Linked DNA regions of Coturnix japonica. The protein of the gene in region 2 purifies or fractionates together with the protein of the main gene of each other region. This does not show direct contact. Links are inferred from orthologs where the notes say so. Each region holds a gene or a part of one and is shown on either strand. Other genes may lie near its edges.

Region 1 (11,403 bases), on a different chromosome or scaffold from region 2:
TCCACATACTCCCCTTGCAAAGTGGACCTGCTGCATTGTCTGGATCCAGTGGATCTCCCAGCATACTGTGTGTATGCAAATGATACATTTAAAATATTGCATCAGGGAGATTTCAACATAAAACATGAGGAAATCTAGGGAAAATAAAATTGCTTCTTTTTTTAAGTCTCAGCAAATGAGACCTGGAATGATTTACAGTGAATTTCACATTATTTTTCTATGAGTAATAGGATTGGCAAGGAAATGAAGAAAGGCTGATGTTATTTTGTGGTAGAAGCCATCTCTTGCACTTTCTCAGGCGCTGAGTGAGTTCTATTTTTGTTTGTTATCCAAAACTACAGGACCTATTAATGTTTGATGACTAGAAAGAGAGTACAGTGATTGAATGGCACCTGAGAACCAAGGATTGCCCTGTTGTGAGGACTAGGAATGCAAGTGAGATGATTTGAAGCCACATTTTCAATCAGCACTTCAAGTTAGGCAAAAAGAAAGCCGAATAATCTATCCACATTTGCTTTGTGAAAGAGATAATGTTGCCGTGAGAGTTTTTTGCAGTTAAAACAAGAAGAGAAACTGAGAAGACTGTCAGAAAATGAGAATATTGCCAAAGAAAATTCAAGAGAGAGTTTTAAGTTCCCAAGCAGACCAACAAACAAACAAACAAAAAAGAATGAATATTAGTTTAGGGAAGCAAGATTTGATCCTTTCCATACAGACATTGAACAAACATTAAACTATGTAAATTACTGATATATTACAATGCTCATTATTAATTGCCTTAAACCATACCGCAGTGAAAACTGATATGCACAAAAAAAAAACAACCCACAAACCTTGGCACAAGCGTTTTGAGAAATTCTTTTCCAAGTGAAAGCAATTTTGCAGAAGCTCACCACACAATGTTTATGGCAAAGCCTAAAAATCTATAAACAGTGAGTAACTACACAAACTTTAGTGTCACACGATAATTAACAGCAAAGATGCAAACAAACAGATGTATGAATGGCGATAACAGCTCAGTTAAGCTGCCAAAAATAAATATCAACCCACGCACAGCAGAATAAAAACAGTGTGTTCAGTGGCAGATCTTTTTCAGCCCTTGGTAGCATTTCCTTGCCAGATACTTTGAAGCAGATGTTAATTTGTATTGTCTGAATTACTCCAGAGATCTTTCTCTAACAACTCAGGGTGTTGGTTGCTTCTTTTTTTTTATTTTTTTTTTTCCCTTTATTCTCTCTGTAAAACACCAGAATCATCATAAAAGTTCTGTTAACTAACAGGGAACGTAGCCCAGAAGGGTCCTCTTTAAAACTAAGCCTTCATTGTAGATGTTGACAGTGCAAGTATTTTGCACTGAATATTCAATGTGCATTCCTCAGTGACTTCAATTGCAGAGTGGTTTCAAGTCTTCCACTGTATTCTGTTAATTCAGTCCTTTCCCTGACTATCTTCAGCTTTTTAGTTTTCTTCTTTTTTTTTTTTTTTTTTTTTTTTTTTTTCACTCATCTGCTTTTCATTTGAAAATAATGTATGACTTCACCTCCACAAAAACTTCATTTAAGATCAAAAGAGTTAGGGAGTGAGAAGGGGGGAGTGGGGGAAGGAGGAAGGAAAAGAAGCATTTAAGCTGCACATCCAGTCCTCGGGTCTTGTTTTCTGGGACATCTGCCGAGCTCTGATAAAGACACTGCAGAAAGATGGGCACTTCTGCTTACTGAGGCCTACAAAGTCACCTGCATCGTCCTGCCAGGCCCAAGGATGACCACAGCATCTTAATTGGCATTTTTAAATACAATAACCACACACTCCCCCCAAATCCAGTGCGGAAATTACGTACATTTTGAACTGAAAAGTGATGTATTTTCAATCAATTTTTTAGATTCCTTCCATGTTAGACATAATGGGAAAAACTGAATAGTGCAATAGCTCAAGGCCATGAAAACAGCACCTCTGGACAAATTAAAGTTACCATTTCCTTTAAAATACCCAATATACCCATGTCAGGTCCAAAAGTCCAAAATGGATCTTGAAAGGTAACATTAATGTCATTCGAAAGAAGTGCCTTTGGAAGTTACAGCATTGCACTCCCCAGGCCCTGTTAGGAAGCTGTTATTATTTAATTATGATGGCTAAATGAGTGAGCACTGTTACAATACCTTATTGCCTAAAAAATCTATCCTCTTTTGGAGTTGTGAAACAGGCACAGGAAGGCAAGCTTCAAGCTAACTTAACTACAAAGTGAAAGACTTCAGCAGCCTTAAAACTGAATTTCACAGCAGCTGTTGCTCTGGGCTCTCTTCAGCTCCAAACCACGCAGCCTGCCCTGCCCAGTAACCAAAAAGCCAAGCTCACTCAGCACACTGCAGATACACAGAACTGTGGCTCTTGTTTCCAGCACGTACAATTGCTCCAGAAAAACTACTTTTCCTCCCAGCACAAAAGCCGAGCAGAAAAACCTAATGTAACAAGCTGCCTCCTACAACAATAATCTCAAATTGTTGCTGTAACAAAGAACACCACACAAACCACAACAAAAACCTGGATGAAATTTAAATGCCTATTTTTCCTACTCTGGTGTACAGCACCCAGCAACCAGGCAGTCAGATGCTGCTCACAGATCTACTCTATGCAACAGGAAAGCAGCCAACCCATTTGCCTTTAACAGTACAAAGTAAACAGTTTGATGATCAGCTCTAAGCACATTATTCCTCTGTAGATCAGTCCAGGTTTTTTATGTCACATTTTTTGTTCTGGTTTCTCTCACCTACAGGATAGATGTAGGCTACTGTATAAAGGTTTTTATTAAAAACAGGGATTCATTTCCCACCTGGTGACGTTAATGGTAGATCTCGTGTTTGATTTAAATGAAGATGCTTTAAGTCAGACTTTAGTAGTCACAAAACATATTCATCTCACTTCACAAACAATCATAAGGAAGGTTTGGGTTTCCTGTATAGTCTCCTCAGTTTCTCCAGAAAACAACAGCACAGAGATCCAGATCACACTTCAGACTCTGCCACTCCTGGGGCCTTGACCAAATCCCCTCACAGCCCTGCTCATGATGTTTCGGTTATTTAAAGCGCGGGGTCTTTATGGAGGTGTTATTCCCTGCTGCTTGTGCAAATGCCTTAAGTGATAGGGCTCTAATTACATTAACAAGCATCTAGGTATTACTGCAACATACGCTGTGAGAAATAACCAATTGCACAGAAAATCTAGCTTACTAAAATAGCACCTATTTCAACATATTTTTAAAGAAAAACTCCCAGTGGGACTGGAAAGAAAGTTATGTTTTCACAAACCAATAGTGTGAAAAAAAATAAAAAGACTTCCTCCTTCATCTTCATTAAACATATTGATGTGTGTAAGCGACACAGTGCCGCTTTTATGGAAAGTGCTGCAAACTCATGTATCCAATGCTGAATTTCACACCGGGCAAAACCAAAACGATGTATGCGGTCATTCATATGTGTGCAGATATAGTGACTGCCAAATGCAAAATGCTGCGCAAATACAGCTCTACTGTGTACTTCTAAAAGTCACGGATACTCTGCCAACTCCTTACATATCTCTTATTGTTCAGAATGCACATTCTTCCCACACAGACTCGGGCATTTAAAAGGCTGTTTTACACAGAAGAGTCTGTTCTTGCCCTTCTACCCCGAGCTTTTTATTTCACAGGAGAAAAGTCAAGCAGTGAAGCTCCATGGTGACCACTCTCCTGCCTCAATTCCTTAGCAGGAAAACAAAAACAAACCACTCAAACAAAAACAAGCAAACATGTATTTGCAGTCCCAGGACAGGGCAGCAGATCCCTAACCTCAGTTCTCACTCAGCTCAGCAGTACTTGCAGCCTTCTCTCCAGCATGGCACCTTTCCTCCCCCACCCCAGGCATTCTCCCAGCCACTGACATCTCTCCATCTTCTCACGCTGCTGCTCACCCCAGCAAACCCACGGTCTTTGCCATTCCCTGCATCTCTGGGGGTTAAGCTTGTAATACACTTTGTGTGCTGAAGTAGCAGCAATGTGGGGTGAATTTTACTTAGGCAAAGGTTGTTAACACTAAGGAAACTGTCACACATTTTCTGCCCTCCAACTTATACAGCTCTACATAGACCTGCAGATCAACATGGCTGCTACCACAGAAACCTCATTCAGAGATAGGCTGTTTGAGCTTTCACACGCACACAGAACAAGTGGAACAGGAGTTGCAACCCAGAGTAAGAAAAAGCTCAATGTTCCACTCTGTGCTGCTACAGACTCTTGTATGCCCAAGCAGTTTGGAGCCAGGTGTTCAGGAAGAAAAACAACACATCCTTCCACCCAGCTTCATCCTCTCCCTGTCCCACAGGAGAAAGCACTTGATGAGTTTACAAGGGTGTCTCATTGTTGATGTTCTGAGACCCGAAGGAATGTTGTCTGCCAGTACATTCCCGAAGGAAAGTTAGGTAGCAGAGGCCAGGTTTGCACTGGAATGCGCATAGGGAGTCACACTGAGTACTGTGCTGTGCCTGCTTACTGACAAGGGATGAGGATGAAGCCCAGGGTACTCCAGCCCCACACCCAGGTCCACCAGACAGCACCAAGTGGGCCTCCCTGCAGGACCCTTGGGATAATACAGACACCCCTGCAGGGCACGAGTAGGTGAGTGATCACTGTGCCACCAGCAGCCTGGGAGAGGTTTGGCAGGGCTGGCATCAGGCCCTGCCCTCCCTGAAACACCCACCTCTCCTCCAGCGCACAGGGGCTGCTGAGGCACAGAGTGCAGAGACACTGTTTCATCGCACTAGGAAAGCTTCAAACCACGTTCCCCCACCTTCCAAGAGAGGAGCAGGTTTCCAGACTGGCTGGTTTTAACTGACTGACACAGTGTAACCTCACATCATGCCGTGGACTCAACCAGGCCAAAGCAAAGACGCTTACACATTGGTGAACTGCAGAGACATTGAGGCACGTGGCTTTCTGAGCTTGCCCTCAAATGACAGTATTGCGACATGGCTCCAGCAGACAGCAAGCTCTTCACATCACCAAGCAGGGCAGCGGACCTGCACAGGGATGCTCCCTCGCGTCAGTGGGCATTTAGTTGGGATATTCACTTCATGCCTTCTTGGAAATCCCAAAGTAAGGGAACAGAAAGAACAGAAACACACTTTTCCAGCAAACTGCTCAATTATTTTCAGCACCGAGAGCATTACTGGAGTGTTTTGCATCAGCGCTGCCAACCGGAGCGTGTCAGCTCGCTGCGCATCCAGGAATCGCCCTGACAGCCCCGGCGCGGCCTGCGCTGAGCCCTGCACCGCACACGCACCGATACCGCTCCCGCTGTCACAGAGCCCCGGGGCAGCACAGCTCTAACCGCTCTCCGCACCCGCACAGAACAGGCAGGTCGCGGCCCCCCCGCGTCCATAAGCGGGCTGCAGGTGTAGGGACGGGCGTGTTACGGAGCACAGCGCAGGGCGGCAGCGCCCAACGCAGGGCGGTGTAGGAGGCCGGGGCAGGGCGCGGCGGAGGGCAGGGCCCCGTCGGGCGCTACGTGACGGCGGGGCCGCAACTTTCCCTTGGGCGGAGGCTGCACGCCGCCGTTCCCGAGGCTCCGGGGGCAGCGGGACCCGAGGCTCTGCCGGACCCGCCGTTTCCGCGGGGAGCGCCGGGCTAACAGCCGCGCTGCCTCCCGCCCGGCCCGGCACTGCCTTCCCCTCCCTCCGTCAATCCCCACCCTCCGTGGGCGGGTGGGCGCTCGCGGCCGGGTACCTTGCAGGCGGAGTAGACGCCCAGCTTCTCCAGCTTCTTGGCCCGCGGAGCTGCGCGCAGCTGAGCCTTCTTCCCGGCCGTGCGCGCCGAGCCAGGCCCCCCGGGGCTTTCGGCGGCGCTACGAGCCGGGCCCCCGGCGGCGGAGGCGGCGGCCACCCCCCCGGCTGCCGGGGAGCCCTGCTGAGGCCCGCCGCCTCCCGCCGCACCGGCCGCGGCCCCGCCGCCCGCCTCCGCCATGCCCGCGGCGCGGCGGCTGCCGCCCGCCCGTCCGGCCGGCCGGCGCGGTGCGCCCGGCCCTAGACCCTCCCCTTCGCCGCGCCGCCGCCGCCGGCTGCTCCCCGGGGGGGCGGGAGGAGGGCCCCGGCGCTCCGCGGGCGGCTCCTGTCCCGCCGGGCGGGGGGAGCCGGTGCCCGCCTCCCGCTGCTGAGAAGCGCGGAGTTGAGCGGTGGCGGGCGGCGGCCACAGGCGCCGAGTGTGGGCCCGACCCCAGGGGCTGAGGAGCCCGGCAAAGGGGCGGCAGCGCCGCTTCACCGGCGGAGCCCACGCGCCTCCCTTGCCCCTCGTAGGGCCACGGTTTGTTTGACTTCAGCGGTGCTTTTCCACGCTTTGCACTTTGCGGCTGCTTTTCAACGGGTTTGTAGGTGATTTCCAAGTCAGTCTATACATATCTGTAAGTTTATTTTAAGCGTAAAACTCAAAGATCCTCTGCTCCGTTCCCTGCATGGTCCAGGAACGTCTCGTTTTGGTCCCGGACCGAGTGTTGACAGCGGGTCATCCTATGTCTATTGCCTTTTAATTGAAAGCAACAATTAAGCAAGTGATCCCACAGCAGTAACTGCGCTGAGCGCGCAGGAGTCCCGAGGAAGTTACGCTCTGTCGCACGTATGTAAAATCGCGGTCGAGCCGTGAGAAACCGCAAATGGCACTAACACAGCGGGGCACCACGGCTTAAAAGGTCGGGATTGAGGCTGGGCTCTGGTGTGCGATCCGCAGCTCTTTGATGTGTCAACCTCGGGCTGCAATACCGAGAGGGAGGGGGATCCCGGTGCGTGTAAAACGTGCACTTGTAAAAAAGAAATAGCAGCTCCCGATTTCTGCACCTGCCCCGTTCCGTTCCCTGCCCGGCGTTAAAGCTGCCCCGGAGCCTGGCAGATGTGACAGCGACCCGTAAGATGGCTGCTGCCATCCCCGCTGCTTTAAGACGGTCTGTTAAGGTGGAGAAGCCGCTACGCTCGGAGGCGAAGGGAAACGCAGCCCCTGGCTGAGCAGATGATTAACGGGAATAAAAAGAATGAACCGAGTCGCTTCTGTTAAATCTGAGGATTCTTTGTTGTTACTGGAAGTGGTCGGATCGCTTTTAAAGAATGACAAACAGCCGCTGTATGATAACAACCACTGAAGAACGGTTTCCTCAGCCTCTCCGCTCGCGTTCTTTTATGTCGGCGACGTTTCCACTTCCCCCCCCCCCCCCGACTTGAAAATGAAACTATTACCGCGCAGTTTCACTTTCAGCTTTACCCCGCTCCGCTTTAGTGACGACCGAGCAGATCCTCCGAAACAATAATTGGCTCCGAGCGGCCGGGGGGGGCCGCTGAGGGACACGGGCTGCTGGGCTTGACGGGAGCTGCTGGAGCCGTTCCACGGTTCATAGCATTTATGTAACCCACTATCATTTGCACGCCCTTGTACAAATGAATTCCCCGTTTCAATTCTCAACATGCGTTTACTATTTTTGTGATGGGAGATTCCACCAACACGTGTTAGGCCCTTTAGATCTGCAGCTGCACAGGCAAGTGTTTGCAGGATCATTCCACAGGTGAATGAACTTATTCTTCTCACTCTTTTCAAGGTTCTTAAAAGCCCAGTAAGTTTTTACTTCCACTGAAACAAAACATTTCACAGTGTGTTTATGAGGGTCTATTGCAAAACCGCATTGCACAGCTGCATGATGATTAGTATAAAGGCAAAACTCAATTTTCCTACAGTTCCTCCTTGAAGCCTCAAGAGCACGTCTGCCTTACACCATAACTCTGCTTTTTACCTTCTGCTTGCCAGATAACCAGAGCGCTAAGTCTACCAGAACAGTAAGTCTACCAGACTGTGGCTACGGATACAGTTACTATAGTAACATTTATAAACACCAATGTCACTACAAATGCAGCGTTGCCCGCTATCATGATGAAGCAACATAAAAGAAAACACACTTAAACTGAAGATAGGTAAGTCCTCTTTATACATATGTATACACAGAGAGAGAGAGACATAAAGAACTGTGACATCTATTAAATCATTGTTTCCATCTAACTTGTGCTATTATGTTTTTTAAAACAAAACAAGCCCTAAGGATTTGCCTTAAACTGCTCCAGGGTCAGTTAAAATTTCAGCAAGAATGGCCAAAGGTATGAAGAAAAGATAATTTGCTGGCTAGAAACATAGGGTAGAGCATGGGCTGAGCTGCCTTGTAGTAGCTTCAGGAATAACAAGTCACACTACACTGGAAAAGCAGAAGAAATTGTGCTTTGACGTATGACAGTATACACGCCATTCTCAGTTTCATATATTTGAGTTTTTCTGTTGACTGAATTCACAAGCAAGTGCGTCTTTATTTCCCATTTATAACATACACATAGCTCAATCTGAGCACCACAGAATGGCTGCAGTGCTTATTTTCAATCAGTAAGTATGTAATACGAAGATATTAACTTAGAATCAAACTCAAAGCATTGTCTTAAAAATCCTTGCTACATCTTTCAGTTTCCATCCTTTGGGGCATTTCAGTGGGCTTGCTCAAGAGAAGCCAAGCTTGGAAGTAGCTCCCAACAAGGAGCAGTGGCAGCCAGGTGAGCCCAGCTGCCTCCTACTCAGCTTATGAGCTCAGGTGGGCAGCCCTGTGACTCTTGAAGATCTGATCATCTGCTCCACAGACAGCCAGGAGCTGGGCACTGTCCACACCAGATCCCACACTCTTCAGGTTCATTTCAGTCTGCTGTTGCCCCAGGGAAGCTCTGCTCACAGCTGAGGCTCCCATCCCTCATCACATCCACAGTATGCCTGGACTCACTGTGAACACCAGGCAAGCTTATATGCAGAAGTGCACACACTATTCTAGCAAAGGAGATGACTGTATTCCTAATGCCAGAACAGGAAAAATAATAACAATAATAATGAAGCTTAGGGTGTGCCTGATACCTGCTCATCTGGAGCTTTTGGGGCCTACCTAGGCCACGTAAATGACTCAACTAATAATAGCCTGATATATAGCAATCCGAGGAGCCTCCCTGCCCAGGGCCCAGCTCCATGAGCCCACCCACCGCAGCTCCCAGCCCAGGCAGAGCCCTGTGCCCAACCCACACCTCTCTCCCTCCCTCCCTTCTTGCTCATAATGGGACTCCTCCTGCTGTCCCACCTATTTTATTCATGAATTCAATGCATATGGAGAAAGGGGAAATCTTCCCCTTCCAGTGAATTGCTCAGAGTATATAAACCAATTGTGTTCTTTCATTAGCACATTCTTAGTGCACGAAGCAGCCTCCTCTTGGAGCAGGCATTCTGGGCTGCTATCGATATTTTATGAGTCACTGGAAGTAGCAACAGCACAACAGTTTCGTTCATTATAATGTCTCCAGCAGCTTGTCAACTTCCCATGGTGCTTACTTGCAACTTTAATAATGCCGATTACAAAACTTACCAGTAGGCCTTTGTTAAAGAGAACATCACACCCCAATTACTCAATTTTCTTTCTTTTTTTTTTTTTTTCAAGGAAAAGAAATAGAGAAAAAGAATGGAGAATATGTCAGTGCAACAACCGTGGCTGTTTGTGTTGCTAAAACTTCTTGACAGAGCTGAAGCACTTTGCTATTTTTATTCACTTCTTACCCAAGTGTACTCTTTGGGGCCACAGCCAGTTTTGAAAGGCACAAATCAGGGCGAAGCTGGCAGCTTCACTTACCACAGTCTTTGTCCACACTTTACAGCCCCACATTGTGTTGTTATGAGGTGGCAAAATCTACCTTACTTCATGCAAGCACAGGATGCATCATCTATTTCTCCTTCACCTCCTCTTCCTTCTGCCTCCCTATTTTTTTTTTTGTTTGTTTTGTTTACTCCATCCTCTTAACATCCTTTTCTCTGCTCCTCTGCTTCTCTCCTGTGAGACAGAGAGCTCTGCAGTTTACTGGGGCTCTTTTCCCAACCACCCCCCACTAGGAGCAGGCCCACTGGCAGTGGTGGTATCATCCATCCCTGATATCTTGACACAGCCCCAACTCTGTCATCATGTGGCCTCACTCCTCCAAGCTGAACCCTTAAGGTCACACCAATCCAAACAGAGATGCCACAAAGAGAAAAACCCTTTTATATCCATAAGATGATTGTTACAGTAGGCCTCTGGTGGGTAACAGACTGGCACCTCTGCCCCACCACAACAAGTCCAGCTACCACCATCAGGTGCAGGATACCTGTGGTAGAGGAAGTTTATTTAACTCCCACTTCAAAGGCTTGTCTCTCGGTGAAGAGCCTTTATCTGGGAGGACAGAGTCACAAAAGGCAGTTCTAAAAGAACCTAATGCAGGAAGCAGTATTATGTCAGCTTGAAACAAGTGGGGCTGGAATCCCACGGTTCCAGTTTTGGACAACATGAAGAGGTAAGGAGGCCAATTTACCTTAATTTATTCCATAATTACTTTAATTATTAATCACTTCCTTCTTTCTTGCCTATTATCAGGGCCAGTGCAGGGAGTGCTCCCAAGCCCCAGTACAGCATGTGACTCACTGGGTTCATCTCCATCACTTCCCACCTTTCACAACAGGGCTGCCGTGGAGCTATGCTGTTGCTGCTGGAGACACAGTAAGTCAGATGCTGTGCTGACTTAGGCTGACACACCTAGGAGAAGATGCATGGTTCTTCCTGCAGAAGGTTTTGGAGGCCCAGCCCTCCTAAACCTGGAGGAAGATATAGGACACAGCTGCTTTGTCTTCTCAGATAAAGGGTTTTTAAGAGGATGTATATGCATTCAATAAAGCTACAAAAGTGTTTTCCTGCTAGATATACGCTTGCGGCTGCTCTGGCTAAAGAAGACCACATGAAAAAGAGCCCAAGTAAACGTGTGGTCTGCTGGCAGCACCTGCCAGGACAGGGTGTGGTTTGCAAAGAAGCATAGGACTGTGCCACAGACAAAACTACAGCTGCAGCAGCTGCTCACACTGGCTCCTCACATCACACAGTCCCAATGATGCCAAGAGTCCCTGTCACAGTTTCAGTATGCAGGTTTGAGGAACTCACCTGTTCAAGGAAGACTGGCAGCAGAGCCTCCTGTTTATACACATTAGATGGTAAAATCATGATTACAAGCTCAGTGAAACAACAATCTCCATACAAATCTTCTTTGCCTCCTCCTGTCACCCTCAGGCCTGCAGGCACCTTCCTGGCACAGCTCTCAGCATCCATGAGTTTTCTAAGGCCACTGACACATAGCTAGTTGTAACAGTAATACAGAGTTCATGAAGGAAGGAGTTTTCAGCTAGATACTAAGTTAATTGCTGACTGTGACAAAGGTAGGACAGGAAGAAGCATGCTCTGGGTGGAGACATGAATGACATGTCAGAAGGAGATGAAGACACATGGGACTCTTCTGGAGGCAAATCAAATCCTG
Region 2 (11,571 bases):
CCTTTGAAATGTTTCCATGTGGCAGGGCTGTGTCAGCAATGTGCCATCCCCTTGATGCATAGAGTAAGGCATTTATTTTAAATATACCACCTCAGAAATAGACAGGAAAAAATGCACACATTTTTCTTACTTAAGTTGAAAAATAAATACAGCTGTGATTTAAAGGTATGTTTATCAGCACTGATGCACCTTGGCCTTACTCCAGTGGATTTCTCTCACTGACATCAGTGGGGAAAAGATGGGCTCTGCACAGTAAATCTAGGAATATTTTTTTCTTCTTTATCCATCCATCTATTTTGGGATGTGCTAAATGCTTGCTCTCTGTTGTAACATTAACATCAGTATGTGGAAACTTGGGTTGCTAAAATAAATCAGTGAAATGCAATATACATGACTTCACATAGAACTGCATGTACATTGTTGAGCACAAGCACTCTGTGTCCACTGTGCCATGCCAGCTGGACCCAGGGTGCTTCCTATTGTGCCCCGTGGGGTCTCACAGTGAGGCAAGGGAGAGCTTTGTGTTAAGGGTCTTCTTAGTTGAGTCTTCTTAGCTCCTGATCCAGCAAAATGTTTTTTGATTGCCATTACTATGGCTGTACATTTGAAGTAATGACACTTCCACCTGCCTCAGAGCAGGGGGATGGCAAGGTCTGTAGTACTTCTCAAAAGCAGCTTTTGTGCATGGGCCTGATTGTTTGCTAGAGGCAATGGAATTATCACCTGTATGGGAAGCTTTGATTTGTGAGGATCTGACTGTGTTTCCTTAGTTTTTGTGAGTTATTGACACTGCCTCCAGTTAGACTAAAGTGGGACTTTTTTCTGGTCTTAGCAGTTGCTCCTGATTCATGCTTGTATGAATTATAACACCGAAATTCATTTAATTCTTAGTTTTGGGGGGGAAGGGGGTGGGGGTGGGGAATGAACGCCAATAAGGGGAATAAAAAAAGGAAAAGCTGAACATTTACAAGCTGGACTTTGTTTTCTGCCCACAGCAAAGCTGGACTTTGTTTTCTGCCCACAGCAAAGCCAACAGGAGACCCTTACAAAGCTGGATGTTAGCTAAGGTGCTGAGGGGGCAGTCCTGCCCCAGCCTCTATGACCAGCCAAGTTCAACATGCCTGCACAGCAGCCCTGTGTCCTCTGTGCCCTCATTCATCATCCACCGTGGTCACCACTGCACACCACGAGGGAGCCCATGAGTTGCTTCTCTCTTTGAGGAGCTGCTCCTCCTGTTGAAGAGGTACAAGCTGCACAAATTCCTTCAGTACTAATCACCTAAGGGAGAATACAGTGACTGATCTGTCATCAAATGTTTAGAGCTGATGATGGTATCTGTTGTTTATTTGTTTGACTGTTCTTTAAACAAGAACCACAGCAATGTGACAAGGAGCAGGTTGTTGTGTGTGGGCTCCAGCAACTGGCTGTTCTAGTCCAAATGTACACATACACCCTGATACTTTCTTATCAATGACAATCTGCTTAGAGCTTCATGTTTTTCAGTTTTGTGGCAAGCTTGCAAGGTTACATGTATACACTGAATGAAACATACCCCACCAGTTATTTTTAGAAAGGCTCTAAACAAGAAGCAAATCCCTGGAGCAGTGCTGCCAGAGATGCTTAAAGTTCAAATCCAAATTAAAACTGCCAATCTTGGGCTTAAATTCCAACCTGAACTTGAGGAAAACTCTGATCTGTACCTTGAACTTTGTGACAGAAAGCTACTTCTAAGTCTTTTCTAGTACCTGAGTGTATATGAATATGGTATAGGCACTTAAAATTACATCTTGAATGGAAAATCTGTATATTTGATTGGGAATGTAGTACCTGATCTTGCAAAATGTCATCGTAAGGCTTTAACTTATAATTTAATTTATAGTAGCTACAATGGAATCTCGAGAGTCTAATTTATTAGGACTCCCACTTCTATCACAGCTTTGTAAGCTCTAGTCATGTAATAGTGAACTTGGGGGAACAAGACAAATATGCTTAATTTACCTCACAGACATTCTTAGTGAAGACCACTGACACATAAGACTTGGTTCAGAACTCACTGGGATACCACAGGAAGAAAGTCGACCCCTTTTCAGCAATGCCTTTGCACAAAGTAACTGAATGTAGCGCAGCTGAAGCAAGCACTTGATTTCTTTGCTGAATCAGAGCCTGTATCTTCTTCCTGCCAAGGCAGCGATCTTAACACTGCTCCTAAATGCACCAGTAACTCTAGAGGCTCTAATGAAAGTCAAGATAATGCCACAGATTTTATAAATAAGGGTCTTTATTTAGAATACTGTTGAAAACATTCTTGGCAATCACATCGTATAAATATATAAAGTTAAAGTTTGGCACAACAAACCAAGCAACATTAAATATATATTTTTAAAATTTTTCCTATTTTTGTTTTGTTTTTAATTTTAGCTTTTGTTTCATTTTTTCCCTTTTTCTCTCCTTTTTTTTTTTTTTTTTTTTTTTTTTTTTTTTTTTTTTTTTTTTTTTTTGCAAAGCAACTCTTATTTACAATTATACAAAAAGTTTTATAAAAAATGGTCCACAACCTTATTTTGGCCAGAACAGGGGTAATAAGAAGAAGGATCTGTCATGCCACAGCTGTTGTAGATTTCTCTTCTCCTCCATATTCAAGAGCCAGGTTCCTATTCTCCAAAGCCCAGATTAAACATTGGCCATTTCCCCGTATATGCTTTTATCTTTAGACATATTAAATAACTTCAGTTTAACAACCAATAAATAACTAAGTGTATTTTGCAGTAATACAGGTTTGAGAAGTTATAGAAGGAATTTTGCATGATACTTTCAAACTGGAACAAGCCATGAAGTCCTTTCTGTTTTAGAAAGCAGGTCTTGGAGCATGGTTGAACGGAGCAATTTGTTCTCGGCGCAGTCCGGCTGGACCTGCCTTTATAGCACTTGGTAGATTGGATTGCTGCTGCTGCTGCTGTCCTGGGGAAGCGGGGTGCAGTTGGTGGGGGAAGGAATCTGGGCTCCACTGTCATTCAGGCTTGCTCCTTCCTGGGGGGAACAGGGACTCCCTTCAGCAACAGCTTCAGCTGGAGGCAGTATGGGACATGTGGAGTTGTCTGTGGAAATCCTCTCCACAATACTTGAAAGGCAGTCGAGGCTGGAAACAACAGAACTCTTCCCATGCTTTGGGTCTGAAAACAAAGGCAAATGTGATCCATTTACCCACTGTGTACTTATATCATAGGATGTAGTTCTTTCATAAAGAAATGAAAAGCCCACTAAGTGGCTGAAGTGCACATCTGAGAGCATGCAAAGAATCAGAGGAAATGGGTATGAGTGAAGGATGCCAGTTATCAGGAAATGGATTGCAATCTGTGAAACAGAGGAGAGACCCAAGTGAAACAGGCTGCTATTCAGGGAGGGTGGATCCAGGGCTCTACTTCAGTCCTCAGAAAAGGAATGGAAGACTGGAATTCCATCAGGCATCTCTCCAGTTTGGATCAATGATACCTGGTTAGAACAGGCTTCAGGCAAAATGGGGTTAAGACTAAAAATCAGCAGCAGAGAAGGATGTGTTCCTAGACACTCTATTTGTAAAATGGGAAATGCAGATATAACATATCCCCTGCACTTGCAAATACATTTACATGAAATCCAGTGCTTCTGCCAGCCTCAGCAGCTCACTGGCTGGACAGGCAGGCTCCTTCCCCAGCCTGGCTAAGTGACTGGGGATGGAGAAGGCCATGGGGAGGCTACGGCAATGGCTGACCCCATCCTCCGTGCTTCACATAGACATATTCTCAACAGTAGATACTCACCATTTGGTGATTCTGTGTAGTAGCTGCTGTCATAACTGTTTCTCCTGCGAGAGCTGCAAGGCGGCCCGCTGTACTCCATCTGGAAAGGAGAATAATCTGAGTGAGGCTGGAGGGCTGCCTTTTCCACAGGTCCAGGAACCATCTGATCTTGTATTTCAGTAGCTAATCTGTGCAATCGCTCTCAGCTGAAATGCTGTCAAGTTTGTGTTGTAGAATGAAGCAGACAGAATTAACTTGCCAAAAAAAAAAAAAAGGAATGGATTTACACCAGAATGTGTAAATCCATGCTTGTTCCAAAGGCAAATTACCACCATTGCTATGACAGAAGCTGTGGCTTTACCAGAGATGAGGTTTTCCAGCAAACTCATCAGTACTGCCCTACGTGTATGGTCAGTTTAGGAAAGGAAGCTCAGGAGAGGAATTCTTTTGATCTAACTTTGGAAGACTTTTCCAAACCTGAGTTCCTCTGAGAAAGCCGCTACTCTACCTTTGGATTTCCTGCAGTTTCCCTTCTTACTCTGGTTTTGTAAAGAAAGACCGCCAAATCCTGACCAATATATTTCTGTTCAGTATGTGAATCTACAATGAAAAGGCTGCATTTTGAGGAGCGGATCTTTCTGTAACTCTCTCCCACCTGCCAACTATTTCACAGTCCCAAGAACTCAGCTCAGTGATTATTATCCCCACTAGAAAAAAAAATGCAGAAGTGTCCTTGTGGTCCTGTTCTCGGCAACAGTCCTGCAGCCACCCTTGTCCCCTCCCCATAACCCAAGGCTCTAAGCCTGGACTCTTTTTCTTGCTGGTAAATGTCTGCAGAGGGGTCAAGTGAGAGGAGAGCTGGCCTTCTTAAGGGTCAAGGAAAACAACTCCTGTTACTTGGGCCATCCTCCTGTTATCCCGATGAATGATAGAAAGCAAACACTATGCTTGACCAGTTGCCCTGCACGTTTTCCCCTGCAATTTCCACACCCAAGGGGACCTGCCTCACTGCTGTCCTTTGAGGGACAGACAGCAGAGCATGAAATCAGAGGTGCCTGGAGGCCATTGTGTTTGCAGGCACACAGGGACTGCCTAACCTTCCTCCCAGGAATCTAACAGACTTCCCTTCTCTTCCCAGAGACCTGGCGTGTGGGGACCCTGCTTCCCTCTGCTGCTGAACTATGAGGAGGAAGGACCTCATCTCCTGCCCAGGGCACTCACCATGCCATCGGAGCAGTTGGAGCGAGGGCTGGAGGCATCTGACTCCCCGCTGTAGTGCTCCAGCACTGGGTAGTACGCATCCTCCTGCTCGCGCAGCAGGGCCTGCAGGCTCTCGATGTAGCGGATGGCGTTCCTCAGGATCTCCACCTTGGGCAGACGCTGGTTGGGGTTGGTGGAGGTACAGCGCTTGAGGGTCTCGAAGGCTTCATTGACCTTGCTGAGCCGCCGCCGTTCCCTCATGGTGGCGGCTTTGCGGCGGTCAGCATTGGTGGTTTTCCTCTTGCAGGCCTTGCATGCCCACAGCAGGCAGCGGCCGGCCTGATGGTGCCCACTGGGTGCCCGCACATGCTCCTCCTCGTGTGGGTGCCCGTGGTGGTGCCCGTGGTGGTGCGGGTGCTCCTCAGGCTTCAGCAGCCCACCCACGTGCACCAGCCGGGGGTCCAGGTCCTCGAAGAAGTGCATGTCCGATGTGTTGAAGCACGGGTCATCGTAGAAGTCGTCAGCGGCCGCGAAGGAGCAGAGGGAGCCCTCCGTCATTTCCATGGGGCCCAGTAAGTCCATGGGGGCGATCGGGAATGCGGAGCGGGGCGAGAGGGTGGTCGGGGGGCGCGGGGGGGTCCCGAGGGTGTCTGTGCAAGGCAGGCAGGGAGTGGGGTCCTCGCACCCTGTCCCAGGCGAGGCCACCGGCGCGGGTTGTAACTGCTGGCACCACCACCACCGCCGACCCCTCCCCAGCCGCACCGCCTCGGGAGCGCCGCTCGGGGCCGTATTTATGCCGGAGCCCCCGGCGGGCCGGGGCGGGGCGCGGCGGGGCGGGGAGGGGGCCGCGGCTAACGGAGCCCCCGGAGCCTCGGCCCCCTGCGGGGGGGAAGGGGGAGTTGCGCGCGGCGGCGCGGGGAGGGCCGAGCGGCCCTCGGGTGCCGGATCCCCGCTCGCCGGAGGGACGGCCGCGGCCGCACGGTAACGGCGGGGGCGTCCGCGACGGAGCCGGGAGCGGGGGACGGCGCGACGAGCCGGGGCGGCGGGGCGAGGACAGCGACGGGGTCGGGGCTGCGGCGCGGCGCGGCCGCCTGCAGGGGGGAGTAGCGGCCCGCGGCCGTCGGCGGAGCTCGGGGAAAGCGGAGGGAACGGGAGCGAACCGCCCCGTCGGAGCTGCGGGAAGAGGCTCCGGGCCCGACGGGCGGCTCGCGGAGCGCCGCGTCCTTCGCCCCGCAGCGACGCGCCGGGGCTGCTGCCGCGTGCTTTCTGACGGCGCTCGGGCGCGTGACGCCGCTCGGGAGCTGTTCTGTCAGAACCCCAGCGGAGCGCCCGCACCACGAGGTGTGAGGATGGGGACGGGTGCCGCCATCGACGGGTCGTGCCCCGGAGCTGCGAGGGGTCGGGCGGGGCTCGGGCACGGTTATCGGAGCTTGGCCTGAGGCACGGGGCACCGCGACTGCGGGAAACGCGCGGCTCCTGGGCTGAGTCGTGCGGCCGTGGTTCTGCTGTGACCCACCTGAGTTACAGTAAGTGACTCTTTGCACCTCGGCTCAGATGTGTACGTTTGCGATTCAGGTTCCCCTTTGAACTCGAGGCTCAGCTTACCTTAATTCCAAAGCCTTTGAAGAGATTGACATTACGTCGCGAGTGGCATTGTGCCGCACGTGTAACCACACTGCAGTCCAATTGCTTGTGCAATAAGAGTGCAATAAGCTTTCTTGGGCAGAAAGCTGTGGCAGAGTTGGGGATATGGAAGAGTTGTGTGGCTTTGGTAACATCTCTCAAGGCTGCTGGAATCTGGGTTTGGAATATCACTTGAGCTGCAAAGTTCAGGTCTTTCTCCAGTACTGAAGTACTGCAGCACTTCTGCTGTGTGATTTCATTAACTTTATGATTAAGGGATTAATGGACACTTTTAATCTCCTGTTCTGCAGTTATAAATGCTGGTGACATTCGGACTCCTTTAAAATCAAAGACAAAGCTCGCTCTGCAGCAAAGCTGAGAGCATCTCAGAAGGTGATGGAACATCAGTTGGGTCCATGGTCCCGACGCCTGTGGCAGCTCAGATGGGCTGTCACCACAGCGGATTCTTCTGTTGTTCTGTCATTCAGTTTTTTATTGAGTCTAGATAAAGGTAAGAATTGTTAGTCACATTCTGTCATTACCCCAAAGATTTATTTATTTATTTATTTAAGTAGATGTTTTGGGCTCTGTACAAGTTTGTTCTTTCACTGTATCCAGAGCAGCTATTGATCAGCCCTACACATGCAGAAGTGTATCTCCCAGCTGTTCTGAGGCAGAGCAGCAAGCTCATGGAAACACTCCACTGTTATCATAGAGGCTCTTTGATCTGGAAGCAGAGAACAAGAATGTTTGTTTTAACCTTTATAGAACAGCTAAAGTAAAAATAACTTGTATTCAAAACAATGTTTTGTATACTATAAGACAAAACAAGTAGAAATGAGAAACATTGCATGGTTTAACAGCTGTGCATTGGCTGTCGAGCATTGGTGCTGGCCTTGCTGACCCACTCAAAACAATGGAACTTTGCTCAGGTCATTGGTTTAATTAGTGGAAATGCTAATTTTGCTAATATTTACTTAAAGCTACAGCGTCATCTGCCACTGTGAGTGTGCATCTAGGTTGTATCTGACCCCAGGAAAAGGCATTTGAGGACTGGCACGCGCAGTGGTTAATTTGGGCAGAGTGGCAACAGATGGTGAGACTTGGACAGGCAATACTGGGAGTCTGCCAGTAATTGCCTATGAATGCTCGGAAGTGCATGAGCTCACCTAAGTGGAAAAGTCAGGAGAAAGCCATGACCAGCTGGTGAGTTCTGCTCAGAATTGTCTTGCAGTGAAGCTGCCCTTGAGCAGCTTCAACTTGCTTTAGCAGGGGGTTGGACTAGATCATCTCCAGGCCCTTCTGGCCTCTGATTCTGTGAGGATGCGTTCCTTGCAGCTGGCACCAAAACTCAAATTGTCTTTCTAGCATTTTGCCCAAGGATAGTTTTGTCCGTATAGATGTTATGGGCCAGAAACAAGTCTTTGCAAAGAATAGTATTGCAAGATGCTCTTCTCAATTTTGTGCGGCCAGAGAAGAGGAAGGATATGGCACTTGAAGAGACTTGAAGTGAATTCCTCACTCTGATTGCAGACAGCAGCTATCTCCCTTTCCATACAACCACAGGAATTTCTTATGGCAGCATTTAGAAATGCACCATTTTTGATTCCTGTTTCAAAGCCTCTGTTGCTGTGACTCATAATTTTAAGTAAAGAATAGGTCTCTTCAGAGCTTCCAGTTTGAATGCTATATTTACTGCAGCGATGTTTCTGCAACTGTTCTGGATAATTTGGGCTTTGCTTTGTAAGAACAGATACGGAGTACATGTATGACAGCATTCAGCAGTGGAAGAGTATCTGTACAGTTGCTTTAAATGCTGTTGACTTTATACCTGTTTGTTTCACACTGATCCTACATCTCATTTTGTCAGGGCATGGTTGAAATGAAGCTGAGAAGAGAGTTGCAGGTTGTACTTCCTGCACTGCGAAGCATGGAGAGGATCATCCTGTACACAGTGGATGGGTTCTGCTGACAGAGATCACAGACACACATGCCTCACAGCACAAGCGTCACGTGGACAAGAAAAGCTTTGGTTATCTACAGTAACTGATTTTTTCTTTTTCAGAGGATACACTGGGAAAACAGCTGATGGTGAGATTACCTAGAATTAATAGAACTGTCTCTTCAGGCAGAGTCCAGAAAGTATGTTGGAAGAGAGAGAATAAAGGCCTAAAATCTGAAAAAGTACAAAGATAAAGATGAGAAGAGTCTCTGAGAAGCACATATGGCAGTATTTCTGGGGAAAAGAAGCAGCAAGTAAGTCTTACATTGAAAAGTTTAAATGTTGGGCTCCTTGTTCTGTTTGAATTCATTTAAGGTCTTCAGTGCTTGAAACCAATTCCTGTATTGTAGGCTAGCAAATCTTAAAGAAGACTGTTGTATATCAAACATTGCCTGTACTAGCTATGTGGCACTAGCTAATAACCCAACTAGCAGTTTTTCTCCATTCATACTTAGTGAGCTATGTATTAATACTGAGAAGAACGGATTCCATTGCTCTTATTCATGTTGAGTTGCAGTCAGTGGAACTAATTGTTGAATAAGGTATGCTCAGCGTGAAGGTGGGTGTTGGAATCCGGCCCAGATGGAAATATCTGTTAAACTACTGCTGTATTTGAGAGCAGCCACCCCAAACAGACAAATCCAGCATGTTGCTAAAAGCTTTTCAAACCATTCTTGTGGCACAATGCAGTATTTTTGCTGGAGAATACAGGAGATGTTTTAAAGTAATTTTCCCCAACTAAAAGACAAAAAAAAAAAAAAAAAAAAGTTGAGTCATTGCACTAGAAAGATGGGGAAAGCATCAGTGCTGTAATCATCTGTCATGTTGCAACACTAACAGAAATTAAGTGCTCTAAACAGCTTTACAGAAATGGGTTATTAACTGCAGCGGTGTAAGGGAGTCACAAAGCACTTACTGAAAGTGTGTTATTGTGCTTCTTTGTCACCTTAATACAGTCTTCTGGCATTTATTTTCATTCTGTGGTCTACTGCTTTCATCTTTAAATTCATCTGTGCAACTTTCTCGATCACAGCTAAGTACTGGTGTCATTTCATAGACGCACACAAAATCTCTTGGAAAGTACTGTCACGCTTGTAATATAAAATGAGGAATACAGCATAAACGCAAAGTACCATTTTTTACTATGGAACTGAATTTATTTTCAAACATTATAGAAACACTGTCTGTAATGTTACATAAAAGTAAGAATCTTTCAAGGAAGCAAACCCCAATTGCATAAAAATGTGGTATATAACATGTAAAACCCAATGCACAACCTAGCTGCAGGCAGCTGAGCTAGCCAGCTGGTCTTCCTAGGTGATCCTTGGTAGCCAGTATAGAGAAAGAGAGGCACTCCTGTAGGAGGTGAATGGAAGGAATTTAGAATCACAGAATATCCAGGGTTGGTAAAGACCCACGAAGATCATTGAGTCCAACTCCTGACTCCACACAGGACAATATAAGAGCTAAACCACGTGCCTAAGAGCATTGGTCTTATTCCTGCCATTGAGGAAGTGTTTGCATCCTTCATCTTGGAGAAGTACACAAACAAAGAAACAGCTGGGTTGTAAGTGAATGAATTGGACTACTTATTTTAACTGCTACTATGATAGAAATAAGCAAATAATGCCTAGTTTCAAAGCAAGTCTTTTAAAAAATTCATTACATTGTATTAGTATACTGATATAAAATTTCTAATATAAAATATCTGATATTATAAAACTAAATCTTTGGGTTTTCTCCCATATATGTGCTTCTTTTTATTTAAGTTCTTTTTGTTTTTAATAAAAGTTGTATATATTGCTAAAATAATTTGCTTAAGCTAATCCTATAGTTTAAGACAGAAGAGGCCTAGATGCTTTTTGTTTCTAGGAAGAATTGCATAGATAAAAATGCATTGAATTCTGTCAGCTTTGGTAACTAGCGGCCTTACTGGCATTTAAAGAACACAATGGAATGGGCTGGATTTTGAGCTGTGGCTCTCATGAGGATGAAGGACAGAGTGTAAAGAGGGAGAAGTGATAAAGCATCATGTCTCCCAAATTCCAGTCTCCAGGCCAGCCTCCTCTGTACAGGTCTGCCTTCAGAGCTGGACCACAGTGATAAGAGCCACAGCATTAAAGTACCTCCCTCCCCTGTTTCATTTTTGCTCCTATCCCATCATTATTACACTGTGGCAACGTGGCAGTGCAGTGTATGGTTGCATATATTGGCCCTATGCTGTTCCCAAGCTGGGAAAATTCTTTCTGTGGTCGCTTCAGACCCTCTGAAGCTCCTGCACACTGCTGGAGAGGCGGACAGGGGCTGCACTGCTGACTAGAATCTGGCTCTATACTTGTTCTGAACTCTTTCTGCAACCGGTCCATAAAGTAATCCCCAAGACTATTTCTGCCATCTTGGGAACAATCAAGCCTGCGAGCATTGGTCAGGAGATCTCCCATCATCTTGATCTTCCGGATTTTGGGTTCGATAAACTGTTTCTTGATAGTGCTTGCGCTATGAGGGTCTGCGTTTTCAATGCTTAGGGCATAAAGCTCTTCAAAGTACCGTGTCAGAGTTTTCCACTGCACCATAGCTAGTTCCAGAGCTTTCATCAGACCGACAGCATAGTCACAGTTTGGTTTCTAGAAACAAAGACAGAATTACATTTATTCAGTTTATTCAGAAGAACAGCTCATCTGACCGCATTTACAATTTTCCTGCAACTTCCTCTAAAGAAATCACATTAGGATTTAAAACTCCCAGTCTGGAGCATTTCTTTTAGGATTTTATAACTCCTAAAAATTATACCTGGAAATCTAAGGGAGTGAATGCAGAGATCTGAAGTACCAAAACCATAATGCAAGAAATTAGAGTAACTACTGCTCATTGCAAATGCTTGAAAGCTCATTGCTTACCACATACCTGGATGGTTTTAGAACAGTAATGGCCCCCTCTTTCTTGCTGATACTTCATCAAAGCCTCTGCGGC

The links.
Region 1: the proteins of MYOD1 (region 2) and KAT2B purify together in Homo sapiens (affinity purification with western blotting; 4 studies listed by BioGRID and IntAct, with this or other methods). This does not show direct contact. The link is inferred for Coturnix japonica from reciprocal best matches to the Homo sapiens genes MYOD1 and KAT2B.

The regions. Positions count from the first base shown.
Region 1 is NC_029517.1:32,845,117-32,856,519, reverse strand, and holds the start of KAT2B (histone acetyltransferase KAT2B), read right to left. Parts: upstream 5,990-11,403; coding exon 5,753-5,989; intron 1-5,752. Other genes in the region: PP2D1 (protein phosphatase 2C-like domain-containing protein 1), read left to right, coding at 10,576-10,598. UniProt on the Homo sapiens protein: Functions as a histone acetyltransferase (HAT) to promote transcriptional activation. Has significant histone acetyltransferase activity with core histones (H3 and H4), and also with nucleosome core particles.
Region 2 is NC_029520.1:16,192,944-16,204,514, reverse strand, and holds MYOD1 (myoblast determination protein 1 homolog), read right to left. Parts: upstream 5,731-11,571; 5' UTR 5,559-5,730; coding exon 4,998-5,558; intron 3,877-4,997; coding exon 3,798-3,876; intron 3,171-3,797; coding exon 2,917-3,170; 3' UTR 2,476-2,916; downstream 1-2,475. Other genes in the region: ferritin light chain-like, read right to left, coding at 10,719-11,225, 11,506-11,571; uncharacterized protein LOC107314671, read left to right, coding at 8,798-8,855. UniProt on the Homo sapiens protein: Acts as a transcriptional activator that promotes transcription of muscle-specific target genes and plays a role in muscle differentiation. Together with MYF5 and MYOG, co-occupies muscle-specific gene promoter core region during myogenesis.